Macaca mulatta: one gene and its partners. Each later gene encodes a partner of the first gene's protein in a complex. Links are inferred from orthologs where the notes say so. Each region holds a gene or a part of one and is shown in the gene's direction. Other genes may lie near its edges. The genes, in order: SNRPD3, PPIL2, SNRPD2, SNW1, PRPF3, TXNL4A and GEMIN5.

Region 1 (4,158 bases):
GGCAGTAATCTTGAAGTCATTTCCTATGAGTTTTTTGAATCTTGAAGTCAAATCCTATGAGGGTTTTTTTTTTTTTTTTTTTTTTTAAAGTAGAGACGGTTTCACCATGTTACCCTGGCTGGTCTCGAACTCCTGGGCTCAAGGGATCCACCGGCTTCGTCCTTCAAAAGTGTTGGGACTACGGGCGTGAGCCATCGCGCCCAGCCGGTCATTTTTTAAAAAGTTCTTTGCATCTCTGCCCCCAGCTCCCTTTCAGGCAGTGGTCCCGTCATGCTTTCCACACTGTTGCAGCAGTTTTAACTGTTGCAGAAATTTTAACAAGTTTCTCTGCTTCTAAACCTTACGTTAGATCCATTTTGTAAATAAATGCTGCTACCTTTTCATTGTGTCATTCTTTACCTATAATTTTGCAGTGGTTCCCCACTATCTTCAGCATAAAATCTAGGCTCCTAAGGCTGAAAGCCAGGGATCCTCACCAAAGGAGCCTGTCTTTTCAACCTCATGTTCTCCTGTCTTAGGTGCACTTAGGTTCCAACTTTGAGTCGTCGCTCATGTCAATAAAAAGTTCACTACTTGATGCTTTTAATTAGGTCAAGTCAGGTGCTTTCCCTTATTTTCCTCCATGACGGGCATTTCCTGCATATAGCACGTTGTCACTTTGATATTTTCTCAATATCCTTGATGGTAAAGTAAGGGAAGGGTTAAAGAGCTGCATTAAAAGTACAGTCTCCTCTCCTAGATATGCATGGTCCTTAGGTCTGTATCTGCTCCTTCCGTAGGGTAGCCACCAGCTACATGTAGCTGTTGAGCACTTGGAATATGGCCACTGGGATTGAGGGACTGGGTTTTTTATTTTAATTCTATTGTGTTTTAGTTAAGTTTAATTTAAATAGCTACATGTGGACATGAGCTACTGTATTGGACAGCTCAGGCCTGTGTTATGATTGTCAAAATGTAATAATCTACAATTAAGGGTTGACAAATAACAGTGCAACAGATTAACATTCCAATCCCCCTCCCCTACACACACAGTATTCGCTAATGGTCCTTTAGCTGAAGATTAAGGGACATAGGGTAGCAGGGACACATGGTCGATGGGAGATGCTCTCTTTTCATTCCTGTTTTTACTTCTGTCCACCCCACCATTCCTCCTCACCCGACATCTTGCACATATTTGCCAGATAGTTTCCTCCAAGCCAGGAGCTGAGCTTTCTTTTTTCTTTTTCTTTGATAGAAAATGCAGCTTTGGCGTTTTTGCTAAGTTTTATGGAGTGCCAGGCCTTGAAGGAGGCATGACGTGTGCCGCATGCCTTCTCAGACTCTGAAAGATGAACTGACTGTTGTCTCTTTCACTGTAGAGCTCTCTTCCTGCCAAGATGTCTATTGGTGTGCCAATTAAAGTGCTGCACGAGGCCGAGGGCCACATTGTGACATGTGAGACGAACACCGGTGAGGTATATCGGGGGAAGCTCATTGAAGCAGAGGACAACATGAACTGCCAGGTATTCTGCTTTGCATGTGAGGCTGTGTGGGAGGAATGGCCCTGTGTCTTGAAGGACAGAAAGGTGTGGGTTGGGGGTCTTCTGTAAATTGTTCTCATTCAGCAGTGATTTCCTGAGTGCCTAACACATACCAGTCAGGTGCTGTTATAGGCTCTGGGGATGTGGGCATGAACAAAACACATAGTCTTGAGGCAGAAAAGCCATTTGGAGATTTGGAATATTTTACTTCGCCTTTTTTGTTTTTTCCATCCCCAAATTTGGGGACCTGTTTGGGAGAAGTTCCTTCAGTAGAATCCTTCAGGTTCAGAGCCATTATCCATTTGCCTCCACTTGCTTTGCAGTTAGGAGAATCTTCTCACATACTGTGTTTGTTTCCCTTTTCTCTTGGAGGAGGAGTCTCATTTGATTATTGCAACTACCTTGTGAGGTAAGCAGGTTTGGTGGTAGTCTTGTCATCCATAAAATAGGGAGAATGAGATTAAAGGACTCATCACTCTGATAGTAAATAATGGAGTAGTTTCTTGATACGGTGTCCTTCTCATGGCGCAGCTTTGCCTTTTGCATAGTCATCTGAATTTTTATAGCATTGTTTTTCAGTTGTATCTTCACACTTTCTTTGTTCTTTAAACCATTGGTTAAGAACTTGGACTTGGGAGTCAGAGAGAGATGTGGGTTTGATTCCTAATTATATGACCTTAGATGTATTAATCACTCAGTTTTCTCATCTGTAAAACGGGAGTGTTATTATTTTGGGTTCTTTGATGTAGATGCCAAGACAGAATTATGCAAGGTATTTATTGGGGGAAATGACAATAAAGGATAAAGGAACAAGGAAACAGTAGTAGGCAGGGAAATTTTCAGTCCGTGATGCTGGTCTGACTGGTGAAACGAGAGGGGAAAGAAGGAGGATTGAGCAGGAAGAACCTTAGACTACAGTGTAGTTTTGAGGAAGTCTCAGCAAGGCAGTGATTGCTCATTAGAAGAATCTAACATGGGGCAGAAATGGGCAGACTGGCACCCCTGGTGTGTTCATTCCATTGGCTGGCAGCCTGGGGAGACAGTCTCTCTCCCCAAGTTGAATGCCATGGTGGACTGCAAAGATGGAGATTGTCGGCTGCCTTCACTCCTCATAGCCTGTTTTCTTTTGGAGGGAGATCTGAGCAGCACACCCTTAAGACTGCCACAGGGATAATATCCACACCCCCAGGACTTTTACAAAGATCAGATGAGCTATATGTGTGCAATAGCTGCTCGGTGCCTCACATACTGTAAGTGTTCAACGTATGGTGTTTACTGCTTTTTTCCAGATGAGAAGGTCAGAGAGGTAAAGCGTCTTACACCACGGTCAGGTATCCTGACCATCTATTGGTTTGCGCCATTCATTTATTTGTGATTTTTCTGTAGCTTTGAGCGTCTATCATCTTCCTGCGAGGTTGACAAGCTTGGTCAGTTCCCTGGATGCAGAGAAGTAGACCTCTGGTGACTCAGGTTTATTGCATCATTGTCAATAGATCAGTTTATCTATTGACAGTAGATAGGTTTATCATCTCTCTTTCATATATCCAGACCTCTGGCTTAAGGCATGCTCATCCACTTTAAGGTACTTTAATTTGGTGAGGAGAATGCAGGACTTGGGTTAGTGAATCTTAATGGGTTTGTCATCTAGCTATATGTATTTGGACAACCTGCTGGGTTTCCAGGGCCTTTGTCATCCCATCCATAACATGAAGGTGTCTAACCAGATAACCTCGGTGGCCATTCAGAGATGCAGTCCACGTGACACAAAGTGCACAGAACTTGGAGTCAGACAGACCTGGAATCAGCTTGCAGCCTGCCACCTAGGGTGACTTGGGGTGAGCTTTGGACCTCCTTCGTCCTCTGGTCCCTCTTCTAAGTCAGGGATAAAAATAGCTCCTTGGCTTCAGAAGGAACCATAGTGCAGAAGAAATGAGTAGATGCATGTCACATGCCTGACCAATGGTGGGGGGGCAGCCACCTGCCTCCCTGCTTGTATTTGTATGCTAGTGCTGCCAATAACAAAGTTTCACAGATTGGGCAGCTTAGACAACACAAATTTGTTTTCTCCTAGATCTGAAGGCTGGAAGTCTGAGATCAAGGTGTTGGCAAGGCTGATTTCTTCTGAGGGATGTGAAGGAAGGATCTGTTCCAGGCCTCTCTCCTTACTTATAGATGACTCTCTTCTCCCTGTGTCTTCACTTGGTCTTCACTCTGTAGTGTTTCTGTCTAGATCTCTTCTTATAAGGATACCAGGCATGTAGAAATAGGGCCCACTCTAATGACTTTTCTTAACATAAAGTTTTTTTTTTAATAAAGTTTTTTTTTTTTTTTTTTGAGATGGAGCCTTGCTCTGTCGCCCAGGCTGGAGTGCAGTGGCGCGATCTTGGCTCACTGCAACCTCCGCCTTCCAGGTTCAAGCGATTCTCCTGCCTCAGCCTCCCAAGTAGCTGAGACTACAGGCACCTGCCACCATGTCAGCTAATTTTTGTATTTTTAGTAGAGACGGGTTTCACCATATTGGCCAGGCTGGTCTCGAACTCCTGACCTTGTGGTCCACTTGTCTCAGCCTCCCAAAGTGCTGGGACTACAGATGTGAGCCACCATGCCCGGCTTGCCTTTTTTTTTTTTTTTTTTTTTT
Region 2 (3,971 bases), about 2.6 Mb from region 1:
CTCACTGCCTCAACCTCCTGAGTAGCTGGAACTACAGGCACCCGCCACCACACCCGGCTAATTTTTGTATTTTTAGTAGAGACAGGGTTTTGCAATGTTGGCCAGGCTAGTCTTGAACTCCTGACCTCAAGTGATCCGCTTGCCTCAGCCTCTCCAAGTGCCGGGATTACAGGTGTGAGCCACCACGTCCGTCCAGACATGTTAAATTTGAGATCAGCGGCTACCCAAGTGGAGATCAGGAACCTGGAGTACTGGTGACTTAGTATTGGGAGTCATGGGATATAAATGGCGTTTAAAATTAGGAGCCTAGGCAAGATTACCCCGGGCCTGAGTGTAGTTGGGGGCCCAAGGTACTGTTCTGACCCAAGGCAAGAGTCTGGCAGAAGAGAAGGAAGGGATCAGGCAGGGTTTTGGACCTCTAGGCTTGATGGCCACCTGCTGCTGGGCCTCCAAGGGGCCTGGAGGCGGTGCGGACGGAATATGCAGAGAGAATGAGAAGTGAGCGAGTAGAACGAGGGTGGTACATGGCTTTGAAGGAGTCGGCCACGGAGGCGGGAAAGGATGGGGTGGAGGCTCATGAGACTTGAAGCTCTAGGAGGACATTGAAAAAGACCTGAGCGCTGGCCGGGCGCGGAGGCTCAGGCCTGTAATCCCAGCACTTTGGGAGGCCAAGGCGGGAGGACTGCTTGAGCTCAAGAGCTCCAGACCAGCCTGGGCAAAATAGTAAGAGCTTGTCTCTACAAAAAATTAACATATTAGCCGGGTGTGGTGGCGCGTGCCCGTAGCTACTCGGGAGGCTGAGGTGGGAGAATCGCTTGAGCCTGGGAGGTCGAGGCTGTAGTGAGCTGTGATTGCGCCACTGCACTCCAACCTGGGCGACAGAGCGAGATCCTGTCTCGAAAATAAAATAAGACCTGAGAACCCAGTATGGGAATGGCCCTGAGCCGTGGCTGAGGGGGGCAGGCGAGGCGGTCGGGAGAGACCCTTCGAGAAGATGGGGCTTCGAGGCTGAGGGAGCTCTGCCCCGAGAAGGCGCCAGCGAGACACAACACACCTAGCTAGGACCCCATACTGGGCAGGCGATCCTTCCGAGCATGCGCACCTGGCGCTAGCGAACCACAATTCCCAGCACGCCAAGCGCCTGTTTCCGGGGCGAGCCGCGGAACCCGGAAGTGGTCACGAAACTCGGCCGTGGCTCCATGGTCTGAGTGGTCAGCGGTTGCTTTTTCGTGCTAGGTAGTTGCCGCCGCCGCCGCGCCGCCATGGGGAAGCGACAGCACCAGAAGGACAAGATGTAAGTTGAGTCGCAGTCGGGAGTGGCGCTCCGCTCTGCCTCAGTAAACCGCCTGTCCCGCCCTGCTCGCCGCTCGCCTTCCCTCTCAGCTGGTCCCCAGAGCCCAGCCCAAAAGTCACTTCCTCCCGGAAGCTGCCACCGTCTCTCCAGTCAGGGTAATGACCCTCGGGCCGCCGCGCTCTCCCAGGGGGCCGCGGCTCCGAAGACGTCAGCTGCGGGCTCGAGCGCAGCCCGGTCTTTCTTTACTCTAGTTCTGCCCGGACCGTGCCCCGTCTGCTCGCGAGCTTTGCCCCTGTAGTCTCTCCCTCTTCCGTACTTCGCGTCTGGCTGTGTTCTGGTTCATGCCTATCAGCCTGCACACGTGCTGCAGAGCCTTCCTATTTAAAGCAAACCAGGCCGGGCGCGGTGGCTCACCTGTAATCCCAGCACTTTGGGAGGCTGAGGCGGGCGGATCACCTGAGGTCAGGAGTTCAAGACCAGCCTGGCCACCATGATGAAACCCCGTCTCTACCCAAAACACAAAAATTAGCGGGGCGTGGTGGCGGGCGCCTGTAATCCTAGCTACTCGGGAGGCTGAGGCAGGAGAATCGCTTGAACCCGGGAGGCGGAGATTGCCGTGAGCCGAGATCGTGTCACTGCACTCCAGCCTGGGCGACAGAGCCAGACTCTGTCTCAAAAATAATAAATAAAATAAAACAAAAAAATCCGCCTATGCCCCGTGCCCCGCGTTCCCCTCCTGCTGCCGCCGTGATTTCAGAACAAGTTAGAGACCCGTGGCTTCATGCTGTTTTCTGAGTCTCTTGAAACCACTCAAGTCAGAATTTCGATCCCAGAACTGCCCCTTGTCAGGTTGCCAGCGACTTCTTGTTGCTAACTCTAGTATTCAATCCTCAGTCCTCGTGTTTTTTTTGAGACGGAGTTTCGCTCTTGTTGCCCATGCTGGGGAGTGCAGTGGTGCGATCTCGGCTTTCCGCAACCCCCGCTTCCCAGGTTCAAGCGATTCTCCTGCTTCAGCCTCCCGAATAGCTGGGATTACAGGCATGTGCCCCCAGGCCCGGCTAATTTTGTATTTTTAGTAGAGAAGGGGGTTTCTCCATGTTGGTCAGGCTGGTCTCGAACTCCGATCTCAGGTGATCCGCCCGCCTTGGCCTCCCAAAGTACTGGGATTATAGGCGAGCCACCGCGCCAGGCAGCCTCAGTCCTCATTTTGTTGGGGTTCTCAACAGTATGTCACACTGTTAACCACTCCCTCCTTCTGAAGCCCTCCTTTGGTATCTGAGATTTCCTGTGCTCTTTGTTTTCCATCGACTTCAGCGGCCTCTCTTTTCCCAGCCTCCTTTCTGGACCCTCCTCCCTTTTCTCAGATCTCATAGGTTTCTTTTCCATAAACATTCTCTGTGAGTGATATAATTTCCCAGTCATCTATAAGCTGCTTTCCCCAGTCTTGTGTAGTTAGTGGCTTACTTGATATCTCCACTGGAGGACTGATAAACATCTCAATTTTTTTTTTTTTTTTTTTTTTTTTTTTTTTTTTGAGACGGGAGTCTCAGGCTGTTGCCCAGGCTGGAGTGCAGTGGCGCGATCTCGGCTCACTGCAAGCTCCGCCTCCTGGGTTCACGCCATTCTCCTGCCTCAGCCTCCTGAGTAGCTGGGACTACAGGCGCCCGCCACCGCGCCCGGCTAATTTTTTGTATTTTTAGTAGAGACGGGGTTTCACTGTGGTCTCGATCTCCTGACCTCGTGATCCGCCCGTCTCGGCCTCCCAAAGTGCTGGGATTACAGGCTTGAGCCACCGCGCCCGGCCTCAATTTTTTTTTTTTTTGAGATGGAGTCTTGCTGTGTTGCCCAGGCTGGAGTGCAATGGTGCGATCTTGGCTCACTGCAACCTCTACTTCCCAGATTCAAGCGATTCTCCCACCTCCGCCTCCCCAGTAGCTGAGATTACAGGCGCCTGCCACCATGCCCGGCTAATTTTTGTATTTTTAGTAGAGACAGGTTTCACCATGTTGGCCAGGCTGGTATCAAACTCCTGACCTCGGGTGATCCACACGCCTCTGCCTCCCAAAGTGCTGGGATTACAGGCATGAGCCACCGTGCCCTCAAATTTAATATGCCTTAAACAGAACTCTTGATTTTCAGCTCCTGAGCCTGCTCCTCCCTGTAAGCTAAAAATAAAATCCTAAATCCCCTTACTGGCTGAGCAGACACCCTTGTGCCTAAGAGAACTCCAGGAAAACCTTAAAACTGAGTTCCTGGCCATGATGCGATGGAGGTCAGCTGTACCTTGTTATATCTTCCTCCCTTTTGTGGCCCAGACACAACAACTGACTGGCATTAACGTTGAAATAGAGATCATAAAGGGGCCCGGCGCGGTGGCTCGCACCTGTAATCCCAGCACTTTGGGAGGCTGAGGTGGTGGATCATGAGGTCAGGAGATCGAGACCATCCTGGTTAACATGGTGAAACCCCGTCTCTACTAAAAATACAAAAAAAAAAAAAATTAGCCGAGCGTGGTGGCTAATTTTTAATAAAAATAAAGAAATAGAAATAAGATTGATGAAACAGACTCTTTGTGGCAATAAGATACCAAATTATAAATAGAACCTATAGTCATGCCAGACAACTTCCCTGGTTAAGTTACCCACCCCTACGCCTAAAGAATAAACTATATCCTTTT
Region 3 (2,054 bases), on another chromosome or scaffold:
TCAGCACTTCGGGAGGTCGAGGCGGGTGGATCACGAGGTCAGGAAATCAAGACCATCCTGGCCAACGTGGTGAAACCCACTGTCTACTAAAAATACAAAAATTAGCTGGGCGTGGAGGTGGCGCGCGCCTGTAGTCCCAGCTACTCAGGAGGCTGAGGCAGGAGAATCGCTTGAACCCAGGAGGCAGAGGTTGCAGTGAGCTGAGATCGTGCCTCTGCACTCTAGCCTGGCAACAGAGCAAGACTCTGTCTCAAAAAAAAAAAAAAAAGAAAAGAAAAAGAAAATGTCTGTTAGGCATCCAGCTGGTGATACTCAGAAGGCCAAACAGGACGGATGTGATGGGACAAGGCTGGGGAGACATTGAGGCTGAGGCCCTGACCACCCATCCTCACAGCTCCAGCCTCTCTCACTTGTGGGTTCCATGTTTATCCATGCAGGAGCCTCCTCAACAAGCCCAAGAGTGAGATGACCCCAGAGGAGCTGCAGAAGCGAGAGGAGGAGGAATTTAACACGGGTCCACTCTCTGTGCTCACTCAGTCAGTCAAGAACAACACCCAAGTGCTCATCAACTGTCGCAACAATAAGAAACTCCTGGGCCGTGTGAAGGCCTTCGATAGGTGAGTGCTGGGTCCTGGGAGGTGTTCTGTGCAGGCCTAGAGAGGCTGCCCTAGCTCCAGTCTGAAGAGCTCAAAGACAGGTTTCTCAGACGCCTGGGGTGTATGGCCCAGGGTGGTGGCTCATGCCTGTAATTCCAGCACTTTGGGAGGCCAAGGCGGGTGGATCACCTGAGGTCAGGAGTTCGAGACTAGCCTGGCTAACATGGTGAAACGGCATCTCTATTAAAAATATAAAAACCGGGCGTGGTGGTGCACACCTGTATTCACAGCTACTCAGGAGGCCGAGGCACGAGAATTGCCTGAACCCAGGAGGCAGAGGTTGCGGCGAGCTGAAATCGCACCACTGCACTCCAGCCTGGGCAACAGAGCGACACTCTGTCTCAAAAAAAAAAAAGAAAAAAAAAGATAATATTCAACGACCTTGTGAGGAAGGTACTGTGATTGTCTTCCCTCTTAAAGATGAACAAACTGGCACAGAGAGGTGCAGTCCTTTGCCTCAGCCTCAACCTAAGGACTGGCAGAATTGGCCTTGGCAGCTTGGTCATCCAGCCTAGCACCTGCATCCTTCCCCAAGCCATGCTGCTGGAGGGGGCGAGCAGCAGGCAGCGCTGTCAGAGGCACCCCCCTCACACCCAGTGCCTCCCCTCCCTGTTCCCCACCAGGCACTGCAACATGGTGCTGGAGAACGTGAAGGAGATGTGGACTGAGGTCCCTAAGAGCGGCAAGGGCAAGAAGAAATCCAAGCCAGTCAACAAAGACCGCTACATCTCCAAGATGTTCCTGCGTGGGGACTCGGTCATCGTGGTCCTGCGGAACCCGCTCATCGCCGGCAAGTAGGGGCTGCCTATCCATCGACAGAACTCACTCTCTCGTCCTATGAAGACCATTGCCATTGGTGTTGAGAATAATAAAGCTCTGTGGTTTTTTTCTAGTGGTATGTGTTCCCAGAGCCTTGTGAGTGGGGTGGATTCAGGAGGGCTTGGGGGAGGCAGCTAATATCAAATTGAATGCTGGGACCAGGACCCGTGAGCAAGTGGAGAGGCCCTGGCTCTGCCCCATCGAGGCCTCACTTTCCCCCTCCGCAAAGCAAACAGGTTGGATGGAAATGAGCACCCAGTTGTGGCACTGGAGAATATTTTAGTTCTCCTGCTTTAATCTTTCTGAGCTTCGCCTTGTCACTCTGTTGCTCTCTTCTCTGCCTCTTAAAATGAATTGGCCTCGCTTGACCAAAATATCTTTTGGGGCCAGGCATGGTGGCTCACGCCTGTAATCCCAGTAGTTTGGGAGGCTGAGGCGGGCAAATCACCTGACATCGGGAATTCAAGACCAGCCTGGCCAACATGGTGAAATGCTGTCTCTACTAAAAATACAAAGATTGGCCAGGCGCAGTGGCTCACGCCTGTAATCCCAGCACTTTGGGAGGCCAAGGCGGGTGGA
Region 4 (3,115 bases), on another chromosome or scaffold:
AGACAGCATGACCGGAATCTTTCCAGGGCAGCTCCTGATAAGAGGTAGGTGTTATTTAAGATACGTACCAATCATGGAGGCTGGGCGCGGTGGCTCACCCCTGTAATCCCAGCACTTTGGGAGGCCAATGTGGGCAGGAGATCGAGACCATCCTGGCTAACATGGTGAAACCCCATGTCTACTAAAAGTACAAAAAATTAGCCGGGCGTGGTCATGGTGGGCGTCTAGTCCCAGCTGCTCGGGAGACTGAGGCAGAAGAATGGTGTGAACCTGGGAGGCGGAGCTTGCAGTGAGCTGAGATGGCGCCACTGCACTCCAGCCTGGGCAGAGTGAGACTCCGTCTCACACAAAAAAAGATAGGTACCAATCATGAAGAGTGGCCTTTTTGTACCTTTTAGAGCAGAGTTTTTAGTCCACTAAGATCAGTTTTGCTTCTCTCCCTTTCTTCTTCAGTTTGATAACTTAATACATTAGCACTTAATTTTCTTATACTTAACTTTGTCTTAGCTCTAGTTGACTGTCTTTGGAATTAATCTTTTCTTCCATCACTTAAGTCAGAATTGAGAATGATGGGAATATGGAAAACAGAATTGAGATCAGATTTTTGAAAAGGATGTAGTAGTAAATTTGGACTGTTATAGTCGGTTCTTTTCCTACCTTAAATGGTGAGACAAATGGATTATGTGCCTCTTTAGACAGGAAATAAGCTGTCATGCTTTTACTGAGATCATTTTATATGCATAGTACTTTATATGCATCTAGTGCAATTGAGAAGAGCAGTTTTGAAAGAAGTGAAAATCAGCTCATTCTTAACAGAAGTTTAACTTACAGTTCAGAAAGACAGAGCTATCCATAAAATAATTTGAGAAAATTTGCAAAGCACTTTTAGTAAATATAAATGTATGGAACAAACTAAATACATATACAAGGGCATAAAGTATGGATTGGGGAAGTTTATGGCTCACCAAAGGCTGAGGACTTAAAGTTCTGAAAAGTAGAGGAAATGCTGCAATACAAAGGTAGAATTCTGAGTGAGGGTTAAATGCAAATATAAAATATTTTCTTCCCAAAGGAACAGTTTTCTATGCTCTGATCATCCCATGAGCCTAATACATTTTTCAAGTCATATTTTAAACACAAAAAAGAGGCTGGGCACGGTGGCTCACACCTATAATCCCAGCACTTTGGCAAGCCAAGGCGGGCGAATCACTTGAGGTCAGGAGTTCATCCAGCCTGGCCAACATGGTGAAACCCCCATCTCTACTAAAAATACAAAAATTAGCTGGGTGTGGTGGCATGTGCCTGTAGTCCCAGCTACTCGAGAGGCTGAAGTGGGAGAATCATTTGAACCCTGGAGGCAGAGGATTCAGTGAGCCAAGATCGTGCCACTATACTCCAGCCTGGGTGAGAGCGAGACTGTATCTCAAAAATAAAAATAAATAGGCATTAAAAAGATTCCTGCTGGTGTTAATTGGCATATTTCATCTCCCTGGATAAATGACGTCATAGAGAAGCAGAGACTCTTACTCTTGAGTTGAGGGTAACGTACATGTAGAAGGAGGAGCAAAGTGTGAAAGTGTTTAATTAATGACAGTCTTGGTTAGTAATTCCTAAGTTGTAAAAGTTACAATGGCTCTGTGGATAAATTGGGCCCTCAAAACCAGTAAAGTGGCCATCAGAATTGACAACATAGAAAAGCTGTAAAATTGTAACTGGATGAAAATCAAATAGCCTGTAGAAATCATTTTGTGACCTGAGTTTTTAGTAAAATAAGTAATGACAGTTACCATGGTTTCATTGGGATATAGATTGCATGTATAATGAAACAGCCAGGAAACCAAATTAATTTGAATGTCAAAAATCATACTAACTATTTCAGTCATTGACATGTTTTCCTCAAAATTCTAGTGGGATAAAATTATTAAATGTAGTTAGATAAAAGAGCTGTTTCTAGCTTATTTAAAATGATTCCTGTGCTACATCTAAATTGTATCCACTTCCCCAACCCCCAAACCATCATATGATAGTAAATATAGACCATAGCAATTTTATATCTCAGTATGGTTGTAAGGTGATTGCTTATATTAAAGAATTCCATGTCAACGAATCTGTTAGATGTTCTTTTGAGCTAACAGGATGTCCTAATTGTAAAACTCTTCCCTCTAATCTGAAATGCTTTATAAGGGCTGCCAACTTGATTATGTATTATCAAGGAATATACGTTCTCAAGATGTGAATGTGACATATTCATGTCCTTTGCTTCTGAGATTGGTTGTATTTCTATTGAACATACTCAGTTTGTCTATAAAGAGTTTTCAGTTAGTGATGTCGTATTTCAAAATAGGTCGAAACTTCAGAGAAATGAAAATCGGGATATCAGTGAAGTCATTGCTCTCGGTGTTCCTAATCCTCGGACTTCCAATGAAGTTCAGTATGACCAAAGGCTCTTCAACCAATCCAAGGTACAAGTTTAGGAAAGCATATTGTTGTGTTGATGTGAATACCTATCCTCAGGGAAACGAAAATTACCATACTTCATATTTGGATGTAAATGCCAGCATGATGACAAAAAAATTGGAAGTTGTATGTTGAAACTTGAGACAAGAAAGATGAAACAGTTCTGATTTTAACTTCTTACAGTGGACTGAAATTTGAGACACTAGGAGAAGAAAGAAATTAGCTGATTAAAAACTTGGTGCTGTACTCGGGAGGCTGAGGCAGGAGAATGGCGTGAACCCGGGGGGCGGAGCTTGCAGTGAGCCGAGATTGAGCCACTGCACTCCAGCCTGGGCGACAGAGCGAGACTCTCTGTCTCAAAAAAAAAAAAAAAAAAAAAAAAAACAACTTGGTGCTGTGGTATGTCAATCTTTTGTTTTTAAAATAGAACCAGGGAGGACAGGCACGGTGGCTTTTGCCTATAATCCCAACACATTTGGAGGCCGGCAGATCACCTGAGGTCAGGAGTTTGAGACCAGCCTGGCCAATGTGGTGAAACCCCAGCTCTACTAAAAATACGAAAATTAGCCAGGTGTGGTGGTGCATGCCTGTAATCCTCACTACTTGGGAGGCTGAGGCACGAGAATTGCTTCAGCTTGTGGTGAGCCAAGATTGTGCC
Region 5 (3,500 bases), on another chromosome or scaffold:
GTCTTCAGCTCCTGACCTCAAGTGATTCACCCACTTCAGCCTCTCAAAGTGCTACAGGCGTGAGCCACCATGCCTGACCCTTCTGTAATTTTTGAATTTTGAATATCACCTATTCAAGAAAAAATGTTAAAGACAAATTTTTAAAAATATCTGGAAGCTCTTTTTGCAAAATGCAAGAGGAGTTGTTTGACTATACCCTCAAAGCTTATCATTCTGAACTTCTTTAGGACAGAAGGGGTTTATAGAGACTAGGGAGCAGGTCTTTGCACCATCGTCTCTTGTTTCTCAAACTAGTAGTTCAAGTACTAATATCATGATTTTTTTAAAAAAATTAAGTATAGGCTGGGAGCAGTGGCTCACGCCTTTCATCCCAATACTTTGGGAGGCCAAGGCAGGCGGATAAGGAGATTGAGACCATCCTGGCTAACAGAGTGAAACCCTGTCTCTACTAAAAATACAAAATCCATCCTGGCTAACAGGGTGAAACCCCATCTCTACTAAAAATACAAAAAATTAGCCGAGTGTAGTGGTGGGTGCCTGTAGTCCCATCTACTTGGGAGGCTGAGGCAGGAGAATGGCGTGAACCCGGGAGGCAGAGCTTGCAGTGAGCCAAGATTGCGCCACTGCACTCCAGCCTGGGCCACAGAGTGAGACTCCGTCTCAAAAATTAAAAAAAAAAAAAATTAAGCATAATATTTTGTGTAGGTTCTGTAAGGTTTGCATGCATTATTTAAGTGGTTACAATAGACCTATAAGGTAGGTACTGTTTTTATCCTCCCTTTTAGACGCTTAGGAGGTTTAGAGACTAAGTTCCTTATCCAAGATAACAAAGGCATTAAGTGTCAGAGTTAAGATTCAAACTCGGGCCGGGCGCGGTGGCTCAAGCCTGTAATCCCAGCACTTTGGGAGGCCGAGGTGGGTGGATCACGAGGTCAGGAGATCGAGACCATCCTGGCTAACATGGTGAAACCCTGTCTCTACTAAAAATACAAAAAACTAGCCGGGCGTGGTGGCGGGTGCCTGTAGTCCCAGCTACTTGGAGGCTGAGGCAGGAGAATGGCGTAAACCTGGGAGGCGGAGCTTGCAGTAAGCCGAGATCGCACCACTGCACTCCAGCCTGGGCGACACAGCGAGACTCCGTCTCAAAAAAAAAAAAAAAGATTCAAACTCAGGTTTCTCTGACTCCAGAGTCTCAGTCATCACATTGTATTGCTACCTAATATGCCAATCTTGCCTTAGGAACTTGGGTTGAAAAATTCCAGTGCACACTTTAATCTTGACTAAATTTTTTGCACTATGGTAGACAGTATGTGGTATATTCAAAAAATTTTAAGTGTCTAGACCTGAGAGCCTTGTGGGTTTAAAAACCTGAATGGGAGTAGTAAAGAGGAGAAATTAACAGTTTTTCAATTTTTTTCCTGGAGAGCAGATCAAACAGATGATGGAGGCAGCAACACGACAAATTGAGGAGAGGAAAAAACAGTTGAGCTTCATTAGCCCCCCTACACCTCAGGTATTGTGTCTAGATTACTCTGAAGACAATAGTCTTTGGCACAGAATTTCTTGCCATCCACTCAAAATGACAGACCAGAAGAGGTGACTGCATGTTTTACTTCATAATCATCTACTACAGTCTACCATGATGTGTATGTGTGTATCTGTGTGTATGCATACGTGTATTTGTCTGCCTGTCTTAATGCCTCTGATTTCTTTTACTCTATCTCACAGCCAAAGACTCCTTCTTCTTCCCAACCAGAGCGACTTCCAATTGGCAACACTATTCAGCCCTCCCAGGCTGCCACTTTCATGAATGATGCCATTGAGAAGGCAAGGAAAGCAGCTGAACTACAAGCTCGAATCCAAGCCCAGCTGGCACTGAAGCCAGGACTCATCGGCAATGCCAACATGGTGGGCCTGGCTAATCTCCATGCCATGGGCATTGCTCCCCCGTGAGTGTCTATTTCATGGAATACCTTTTCATTTCTGAAGTTTGAGAAGCAATAAATACCTTTGAATGTTACTGATCTGGCTGGGCGCAGTGCCTCAGGCCTATAATCCTAGCACTTTGGGAGGCCGAGGTAGGTGGATCACCTGAGGTCAGGAGTCAGGAGTTTGAGACTAGCCTGACCAATATGATGAAACCCCGTCTCCACTAAAAATACAAAAATTAGCTGGATGTGGTGGTGCATGCCTGTTATCCCAGCTACTCGGGAGGCTGAGGCAGGAGAATCACTTGAATCCAGGAGGCAGAGTTTGCAGTGAGCTGAGATCGTGCCACTGCACTCCAGCCTGGGTGACAGAGGGAGACTCTGGCTCAAAAACAACAACAACAAAAAAAATTACTGATCCTCTTTTTCCACAGAACCTAGATCATTTCTCACAGTTCCATATTTCTTATGTGTGATTGATTAACCAGTTGAATTTTTTCTCTTGGCTTCCCTGTTGTTGCAGGGTTTATTATCTTCTTATGATTGATATAACTGAGATTAAGGTTATTCATCTGATATTGGAGCTCTGAATAGAGCCAGGTTTCCTTCCTGGTTTCAAACTCAGATTTATCCATTAAAGCACATTATGTGAGATCAGATCTGAGGTTCCTCTGCAACTGGTCAAAGATGTTACACTTTTTTTTTTTTTTTAGCATCTACAGTTGGTCTGGCATCCCATGACTGACGTAAGAATTCAGGGATAAAGAAAGATAGGATTGTAAATTCATATAATTTATAAACTCATTTCTTTCGGTGGTCTTGTATGCTGAAATATCTACTTTGATATTTTTAATCAAGATGTTATTGGCAGGTCGTGGTGACTCACACTTGTAATCCCAGCACTTTGGGAGGCCGAGACTGGCAGATTGCTTGAGCTCAGGAGTTCAAGACCAGCCTAGGCAACATGGCAAAACCCCATCTCTCTAAAAAATACAACAATTAGCCAGGCATGGTAGAGCATGCCTGTAATTCTAGCTACTTAGGAGACTGAGGTGGGAGAATTTCTTTGAGCCTGGGAGGTTGAGGTTGCAATGAGCTGTGATTATGGCACTGTACTTTAGCCTGGGCAACAGAGTGAGACCATGTCTCAAAAGAAAGATGGTATTACTCACTGATGAGATTGTTCCCTAGAATTATTTTATCATCTTTTTTTTTTTTTTTGAGACGGAGTCTCGCTCTGTCGCCCAGGCTGGAGTGCAGTGGCCTGATCTCAGCTCACTGCAAGCTCCGCCTCCTGGGTTCACACCATTCTCCTGCCTCAGCCTCCCGAGTAGCTGGGACTACAGGCGCCCGCCACCTCGCCCGGCTAGTTTTTTGTAGTTTTAGTAGAGACGGGGTTTCACTGTGTTCACCAGGATGGTCTCGATCTCCTGACCTCGTGATCCACCCGTCTCGGCCTCCCAAAGTGCTGGGATTACAGGCTTGAGCCACCGCACCCGGCCCGTCTTTTTTTTTTTTTTGAGAGGGAGTCTCACTCTGTTGCCCAGGCTGGAGTGCAGTGGCGTGATCTCG
Region 6 (3,954 bases), on another chromosome or scaffold:
GAGATTAGAGGTTTTATTTTAAAAAGAGAAATATTATTTCTCTTGGAGAAAGTTCATAGGCACCAGTAAGGGTCTGGGGAGCGAAGCCGGGGGAGCCAGATCAGTCCTGGAGGTGCAAGTTATGCTGAAGCTATGCAATAAAACTGGCTTCAGGTCGGGCGCGGTGGCTTCCTCCAGTAATTTCAGCGCTTTGGGAGGCCGAAGCGGGCGGATCACTTGAGGTCAGGGGTTCGAAACCAGCCTGGCCAACATGGTTAAACCCCGTCTCTACTAAGTACAAAAAAACTAGCCGGGCTGGCGCCTGTAGTCCCAGCTTACGGGGAGGCTGAGGCAGGAGAAGCGCTTGAACCCGGGAGGCGGGGGCTGCAGTGGGCCGAGATCACGCCACTGCACTCCAGCCTGCGCGACAGAACGAGACAACGTCTCAAAAAAAATTTTTTTTCTTTATAAAAAGACAAAAACTCTGGTTTCGGGTTACAACAGGCAGCTCAGCAGCCGGCCTGACGGTGACATTCCTCAAGGACGGCCTGCCCAGTGCTTCCCCCCACCCCGCTGCTCGGCTCTGCCGTGGCTGGGTATGGCAACAACGACACATTTTTATGGTCAAGTTTCACAAATGACACACACGAACCGTCTCGCTAACACACAGCACAAACGATGACCCGAAACAGACACCAGAAAGGAAAAAAACGAGCCGCAGTGCCGGGCATGCCGGGCCTTTCTGAAGACGTCCCCATCCGTGGCTGGAGGACAGCCCGGGCGGCGGCGGGCGGCCTCGGGGCGGGTGCGTCGGGGCAGGGCACGGCGAGCCCGGGGCTTCTCAGGACCACCAGGCCGCCTGGACGCTGGGGAGGAACCCCCACTCCGACGCCGGCTAGGAGGGCACCAACCGCGCTCCACCGTGGCCAGGTCGCCGCCGCTCCCGCCGGCCAACGACAAGCTAGCGCGGCGTCTGTACGCGCGTGACGTCAGCACGCACGGCGCCAGCCCGTGCGCATGACGTCAGCACGCACGGCGTCGGTGCGTGCGCGCCCAGAGGTTCCGCCCGGCGGCAGTGCCAGCGGAGCTTGCGGGTGTGGGTGGGACCGGGTTTCGGCTGTGGGCCCGGGGGCGGCGGGGGCCGCGGAGTGAGGGGCCGGCTGAGCCCACCACCTCGCTGGGCCCTCCCTGGCGCCCGGCCTCGGGCGGCGGCGAGCGCGCGGGTCGCCATGTCGTACATGCTCCCGCACCTGCACAACGGCTGGCAGGTGGACCAGGCCATTCTCTCCGAGGAGGACCGCGTGGTCGTCATCCGCTTCGGCCACGACTGGGACCCCACCTGCATGAAGATGGACGAGGTCCTATACAGCATCGCCGAGAAGGTAGCGCGCCGGGCCCTCCCGCCCTGCTGGCTGTGCTTCCGCAGCGGCCCCGCGCCTCTGCCCCGCCGGCCTCGCCTGGGGGCGCGAGCCGTTCCCCGAGGAGGGGCCGCGGCGCGGTTGTCCGGGCGATTCCTTCCCGCGCTGCGGGCGAGCGCTCTCGGGGACTGTGCCGGCGTTTCGCGCCTTTTTCTGCAGGGAGCTCCTGTAGTTGTTCACGTTTTAAAGGGTTTATGATCCCCCTCCCCTCGAAGGAATTCATTATTTCTGTTGGTAAGGCGTTTTTCCCAATCTTACAGTGCAGTGAACAAAGTAACACTTGCAGGTTTTGAGAGCGCAGATCCTTAATTTAAAAGGATGCCCTTTTCTGGTGCCCTGTTTGTTTGTTGTATGTGTAAAGCAGAACTTTCATGTTAATAGCATAAGAAATCCTGTTTTTCTGTTGGTGTTTTCTTCCACCGCGCTTTTTGTAAGTCATGTGATTTATAGCTTAGAGTGATTAAGATGCAGAAAACATCGGGAGAAAATAGAACTATGCTTTGTTGGAACTAGTTTTCTGAATTTCTAATATTAGTACATTGAGTGGCCTTGGCACTTACTTGCTGACAATAAAAGTTGTGGGACACTATAACCAGGTTTCATTCTTTTTCTGTGGTTCCTCACAGCAATTTTAGGATGGCGTTTATTTAGGTTTTGCAGCTGTAGCAATAGGGCAAAGGGCACAAATACTAGGGTGTTAATAAAATATTTGCCATATTAATTTTCCGTAAGTAATTTGAGCGGTTATTCATTTTGATGAAGAGTAAAAGTAACATTGAAGCTATCTTTTCTTTCACAGATGCTAAAGTAGGCTGGGTTAAAATAACTCCTTTGAGTAAAGAGTAACAGATATAAAGACATTTTATATTGAGGAAAGGAAAGACTGTCTGGCCTGCCATTTATTAATTCTTGCTATTTCTTATTTAGTAGGAGAGGTGTGATGTTAGGAACTGTTGTTATATTTTAGTTATTACAAGAATCTCTTGGAGTGCTTACTAAAATGCATCTGTGATTCTGAGTCTATGGGTGTGGGGTGAAGTCCAGCAATGGCTTTTTAAAGAAGCCCCTCAGGGAATTCTGATGTGACCTGACCTTGAACCACACACTCAGAAACCCTTCCATGGGGGTCAGGGACAGAGGCGGAGTGCTTTATTACCAGCCATCTCCCAGCCTCTTCCTCTTGGACAGCAGGACACTGAGGACTTGAGGAGCTGCCTAGGGAATCAGGAGAGCAGCAGTTCTCTCACACTGGGGCTTCTGCCAGCCAGGGATTAGAGATGATGAGTGAGGCAGTGCCAGCACATCAGCTTTTCATTGCTTGACTTGTAGTGGACAAGGGCAGATACTGGAAATCCAGCGAAGAATTGACGAAGAGCAGTTTCCCAATAAGTAAATCACTGCTTGTAAATCACTGACTTTGAGTTACGAGTTCTAGAATCTTTCACTGTTCTACCTTGCAGGTGGTGGCATAAACATCAGCTGGTGTTCAGATCCTGCTGCCGGCAGCTCGAGGCTAGGATGGCTGGCGATGTGAGGGCCTTTGTCTCATCACATCCAGGCAGAGCTCAGCAAGATGCTCTTAGCTAGGAAACAGATTTTATGTGTTAATGTAAGTGTTAGGGTCTTTGCCAGATTTGCTCTTTTTTTCCAATTCCTTTATGTCCGATTTCTTTGTTATTACAGAATGAATCACTGTATCACTAGTGGACACACACTTAAGGACAGTTGAAATGGGCTCACTTTGGGGTATTTTTTTTTTTTTTTTGGTCTTTTAAAATAGTTTGATTTTTGTTTCTGTCCAAAAATTTGGATTGCTTTATTAATAAACTTTTAATGCAAATATTATAGTATAATTATTAAAAGCGCAAACCTAGGCCAGGCACGGTGGTTCATATCTGTAATCCCAGCACTTTGGTTGGGAGGCTAGTGTAGGCAGATCACTTGAGCCCAGGAATTCGAGACCAGCCTGGACAATATGGTGAAACCCGTTCTCTACTAAAAGTACAAATGCCAGACGTGGTGGCACATGCCTGTAGTCCCAGCTACTTGGGAGGCTGAGGTGGGAGAATCACCTGAGCCCGGGAAGTCAAGGCTGCAGTGAGCCATGATTATACCACTGAACTCCAGCCTGGGCAACAGGAGTGAGACCCTGTCTCCAAAAATAAGTGCAAACCTGAAATGCATTAAAAGACTATTCGTGTTTTATTTTCTTCTTAGTATATGGGCAAAATATGACTTTCTAATTCTGGAAGCTCTTTTGGGGAAACTCAACAGAAATTTTTGAAATGTAAGATTTTAGTATAAAGAACAATATAACTATTTAAAAATTTCCCTGTGCAGAAATGGCAGATAATGGAGAATCTTCCTTATCTTGTTAAGAGTCCTGTCGATGTCCCAGCTGTTTTAAAGTGAGTAACAGTTGCAGATGTTCGGCTGGACTTGATACGATTTTTTCCTGGATGTGTTGTATTGATCTGCTGCTTCCACAAGGCCCACTGGCCTCATGCTGGGTTAGAGCTGAGCTGTGAACTTCAGGAAGAAAGTTAGTCTGGAAACA
Region 7 (3,500 bases), on another chromosome or scaffold:
ACAGTGACCGAGTGGGCTTCACATCCTTTTGTAATCACTCTGGTAGGTGACACCTATCAGAGAATGACTGCATATTTTAGGAGCCCACTTTCTCTTCTATCTTGCTTTATCTTTTTCTACAAGTCAGTAATAGATGTTTCCGAAACACCTTCCAAACATTATCTCTCTTTCAAACAGGAAAAGGTCACTTAGAAAATGGCCACCCTGAGTTATTTCACCAGCTTATGCTTTGGAAAGGAGATCTCAAAGGTGTTCTCCAAACCGCAGCGGAAAGAGGGGAGCTGACAGACAACCTTGTGGCTATGGCACCAGCGGGTATGGTTTTCGTGCTTGTTCTTTTCAGTAAAAACTCTATCATCTCTGGGATACGTCCACTAAAGATGGCTCTTGGCAGTACCAGTCTTAAGCTTGAAATCACTTACAAATAGATACAATGCTAATCCTGTTTGCAGCAGTAGACAAACTCGTAAATCCAACCCAACCCCTGTGAAAAAGAGCAGGTCACTGACACTTTAATGGCAAAAGCATAATTGGTGAGAACTTCTTGAAGGACAATTTGGCCATGTCTAGTAAATTTTAAAGATACAATGGCACAAGTCTGTAGTCCCCAGCTGCTCTGGAGGCTGAGGCAGGAGGATTGCTTAAGGCCAGGCATTCAGACCTATAGGGCACTGTTAATTGTGCCTGTGAATAGCCACTGTACTGTAGCCTGGGCAACATCATGAGACCTTTGTCTCTTTAAAAAAGAAAGAAAAAAGGTGGGTGTGGTGATTCATGCCTATAATACCAGCATTTCGGGAGGCCGAGGTGGGCAGGCCGCTGGAGCCCAGGAGTTTGAGACCAGCCTAGGCAACATGGCAAAACCCCATCTCTACAAAAAATAAAAAAATTATCTGGGCATGGTGGCATGTACCTGTAGTCCCAGCTACTCAGGAGGCTGTGGTGGGAGGATCACCTGAGCCCAGGGAGGTTGAGGCTGCAGTGAGCCATGATTGTGCTACTTAGCTCCAGCCTGAGCCACAGAGCAAGACCCTGTCTCAAAAAACAATAAAAGGAAAGAGAAAAAAAAAAAAAAAGCACGTAAGCATGTTACCTTTGGTTCGTCAATTCTAATTATAGGAATTTATCTAACTGTGCTCACACATTCCTTTCTGTATCTTTTCAACTTTGTACTGTTTTGTTTGTGTTACATAATCAAACAATTGATGTTTCAGAATGTGTAGATGAAGCAGATCATCCGTAGTGGTGGCTGAATTGGTATCTAAATGTTCTGCTGAATGCATCGACTGAAAACAAAGCTTTTCAACCCAAATATACTGGGTTTTGTTTTTAACTTCTCTTCAACTGTTTTTTAACCACCATCTTTTATTTTTTCAGCTGGCTACCATGTGTGGCTATGGGCTGTGGAAGCTTTTGCCAAACAGCTGTGTTTTCAGGATCAGTATGTCAAGGCTGCTTCTCACCTACTTTCCATCCACAAAGTGTATGAAGCTGTGGAGCTGCTCAAGTCAAACCATTTTTACAGGTATGTGTAGTCATAGAGTTGGGATAATACTTGGACATAATGTGAAAGTAATCTAAACTTCTCTATTGTTAAAGTAACATAAAGAGAAGAAACAGTCCTCCTGCCTCAGCCCCCTAACTGGGACTACTCAGGAGGTGTGTGCCACCACCTCCAGCTGTTTTTTTAGTTTTTTGTAGAGACGGAGACTTGCTGTGTTGTCTAAGCTGATTTCCAACTCCTGGGCTCAAGCGATCCTCCTGCCTCAGCCTCCCAAAATGCTGGGATTACAGGCATGAGCCACCATGCTTAACCAAGATTTTCTTTTTGTCCTACCCTGCTTTGGTTTTGTTGTCTTCCTTTAGAGAGTGTTGAACTTTGTTTTGGCAAGTAGTAAAGTTGTATATCAGCTTGATCTTTTCATGGCTTGTTTTTAAACTTTGTTAGGGCAAGTTTATCATATTCTAGAATTAGTTTGGACCTCCTACATTCTGATATCTTTATTGAATGCCTTATGCATTCAACAAGTCAAAACTCAGATGTCTCCAGGTCCTGAGTAAGCTCTGGTAATTGTTCAGCTTACAGTTACCTAGTCATTCTTTGTTTAGACTTATGGAGTTTCCTTTACATACGTGGCTTTGAATTTAGCCAAAGACTCAATATGGATGTCTTTCTCTGGACAACTTCCTCCTTCCTAGTATCCTGCCCCTCAGATTGCCATTGTTTCCTCTTTTCAACTCAGAGACCGCTGAGGTTTTGCTTGGGTTTTCTTTAGGAAAATGGCTTTGGGCAGAAAGCCAGTGCCCAGATAGGGTTCCCATCGTTTGTTTCTGTTCTCTTAGGGGTTACTGTCCTGTGCTGCCTGTTACCCAGTGTCTGAAAACAGTTGTTTCAGACATTTTGTCCAGTATTTTAGTTTTATGGCAGGAAGGTAGGTCTGATCCCAGTTATTCCATCATAGCTGGAAGTAGAAGTCCCAAAATACTTTCAAAATATTGCTCTGTTTAGATCACTTTAATAAAACACTTTTTTCCCCAGCTACAACTTTATGTTGGCTACAACTCAGCAGTTGTATGTCATTTGAAAAATATTTGTTTACTGAGTTGTACAGATCCAAATGTTAACATATCTTATTATAAAATACCCAAAAATGTCACATTCCTTACTATCACCGTCACTCTCATCAGAAAATTCTAACTTATGGGAAACTGTCAAGCACACAAGTGGTACGTACAAGTTTTCTAAAATTCTAATTTTTGCTAGAAAACTCACATTTTATCATTAGTAACAAATACTGTTGGTTGTTTTTAATGAAGTGGTTAGTCTTTTTTTTTTTTTTTTTAGAAGAAAGCAGGTTCTGTGAAAAAAACAGCCAGTTTAGCTTGTAATTTGTTCATACAGGTGTTTCCTGGAGACAACCATCCTACTTTGGAATGCAGCAGAGAACACAAAATGTTCTTCCCATTTGTCACACACAATATATTAAAGTGTTTTGGACTTGAGGGATTTAGTAAAATTCATAATTTTTACTGCTTCATTAAGGGCATTCTCCCTTTTTTCCCACTATAAGAGCCACTGCCTTCTTTCTTAGATGCCAGAATTTACCAACCATTACTTTTGCACAATCAGTGCAAATGTCAACACAGTTTTTTTTTTTAATAAACAACACATAACTGACTCTTAGCATTGTTACAAAAATAGTTATAACCTCATGAACCCTCTGAAAGGTTCTTGAGGACCCCCTAGGAATCCACAGACCACAAATTTAAGAACTGCTGATCTAAGTGAAGAAACGAATGAAGCATGTGTTTGTAATTTGTCTATCTAATGCAAGTGCAGTTTTTTAAAGGAAGTTGAAACAATAAGAACGCAAAAGGGACAATTTGTCCTGTCTTACAGCCCCTCCTAGGGCCATACACAGAGGAGCCTTTTCAGATTGGCTAAAGTGTCTATTCTTGCCTTTAGGGAAGCTATTGCAATTGCCAAGGCCCGGCTGCGC

The links.
Region 2: SNRPD3 (region 1) and PPIL2 share a complex: the UniProt entries of both Homo sapiens proteins name them as parts of the minor spliceosome. The link is inferred for Macaca mulatta from reciprocal best matches to the Homo sapiens genes SNRPD3 and PPIL2.
Region 3: SNRPD3 (region 1) and SNRPD2 share a complex: the UniProt entries of both Homo sapiens proteins name them as parts of the SMN-Sm complex. The link is inferred for Macaca mulatta from reciprocal best matches to the Homo sapiens genes SNRPD3 and SNRPD2.
Region 4: SNRPD3 (region 1) and SNW1 share a complex: the UniProt entries of both Homo sapiens proteins name them as parts of the minor spliceosome. The link is inferred for Macaca mulatta from reciprocal best matches to the Homo sapiens genes SNRPD3 and SNW1.
Region 5: SNRPD3 (region 1) and PRPF3 share a complex: the UniProt entries of both Homo sapiens proteins name them as parts of the U4/U6-U5 tri-snRNP complex. The link is inferred for Macaca mulatta from reciprocal best matches to the Homo sapiens genes SNRPD3 and PRPF3.
Region 6: SNRPD3 (region 1) and TXNL4A share a complex: the UniProt entries of both Homo sapiens proteins name them as parts of the U4/U6-U5 tri-snRNP complex. The link is inferred for Macaca mulatta from reciprocal best matches to the Homo sapiens genes SNRPD3 and TXNL4A.
Region 7: SNRPD3 (region 1) and GEMIN5 share a complex: the UniProt entries of both Homo sapiens proteins name them as parts of the SMN-Sm complex. The link is inferred for Macaca mulatta from reciprocal best matches to the Homo sapiens genes SNRPD3 and GEMIN5.

Annotation. Positions count from the first base shown.
Region 1 is NC_133415.1:28,770,555-28,774,712, reverse strand, and holds the start of SNRPD3 (small nuclear ribonucleoprotein Sm D3), read left to right. Parts: upstream 1-1,358; 5' UTR 1,359-1,376; coding exon 1,377-1,502; intron 1,503-4,158. UniProt on the Homo sapiens protein: Plays a role in pre-mRNA splicing as a core component of the spliceosomal U1, U2, U4 and U5 small nuclear ribonucleoproteins (snRNPs), the building blocks of the spliceosome.
Region 2 is NC_133415.1:31,327,311-31,331,281, reverse strand, and holds the start of PPIL2 (RING-type E3 ubiquitin-protein ligase PPIL2), read left to right. Parts: upstream 1-1,171; 5' UTR 1,172-1,262; coding exon 1,263-1,294; exon of another isoform or gene 1,295-1,337; intron 1,338-3,971. UniProt on the Homo sapiens protein: Has a ubiquitin-protein ligase activity acting as an E3 ubiquitin protein ligase or as an ubiquitin-ubiquitin ligase promoting elongation of ubiquitin chains on substrates.
Region 3 is NC_133424.1:58,224,554-58,226,607, reverse strand, and holds the end of SNRPD2 (small nuclear ribonucleoprotein Sm D2), read left to right. Parts: intron 1-302; exon of another isoform or gene 303-437; coding exon 438-617; intron 618-1,253; coding exon of another isoform or gene 1,254-1,279; coding exon 1,280-1,454; 3' UTR 1,455-1,554; downstream 1,555-2,054. UniProt on the Homo sapiens protein: Plays a role in pre-mRNA splicing as a core component of the spliceosomal U1, U2, U4 and U5 small nuclear ribonucleoproteins (snRNPs), the building blocks of the spliceosome.
Region 4 is NC_133412.1:150,941,480-150,944,594, reverse strand, and holds part of SNW1 (SNW domain-containing protein 1), read left to right. Parts: coding exon 1-44; intron 45-2,344; coding exon 2,345-2,462; intron 2,463-3,115. UniProt on the Homo sapiens protein: Involved in pre-mRNA splicing as component of the spliceosome. As a component of the minor spliceosome, involved in the splicing of U12-type introns in pre-mRNAs.
Region 5 is NC_133406.1:116,802,743-116,806,242, reverse strand, and holds part of PRPF3 (U4/U6 small nuclear ribonucleoprotein Prp3), read left to right. Parts: intron 1-1,429; coding exon 1,430-1,513; intron 1,514-1,728; coding exon 1,729-1,949; intron 1,950-3,500. UniProt on the Homo sapiens protein: Plays a role in pre-mRNA splicing as component of the U4/U6-U5 tri-snRNP complex that is involved in spliceosome assembly, and as component of the precatalytic spliceosome (spliceosome B complex).
Region 6 is NC_133423.1:1,024,140-1,028,093, forward strand, and holds the start of TXNL4A (thioredoxin-like protein 4A), read left to right. Parts: upstream 1-1,154; 5' UTR 1,155-1,208; coding exon 1,209-1,361; intron 1,362-2,857; exon of another isoform or gene 2,858-2,970; coding exon of another isoform or gene 2,971-3,006; intron 3,007-3,954. UniProt on the Homo sapiens protein: Plays a role in pre-mRNA splicing as component of the U5 snRNP and U4/U6-U5 tri-snRNP complexes that are involved in spliceosome assembly, and as component of the precatalytic spliceosome (spliceosome B complex).
Region 7 is NC_133411.1:163,768,470-163,771,969, reverse strand, and holds part of GEMIN5 (gem-associated protein 5), read left to right. Parts: intron 1-177; coding exon 178-315; intron 316-1,377; coding exon 1,378-1,525; intron 1,526-3,466; coding exon 3,467-3,500. UniProt on the Homo sapiens protein: The SMN complex catalyzes the assembly of small nuclear ribonucleoproteins (snRNPs), the building blocks of the spliceosome, and thereby plays an important role in the splicing of cellular pre-mRNAs.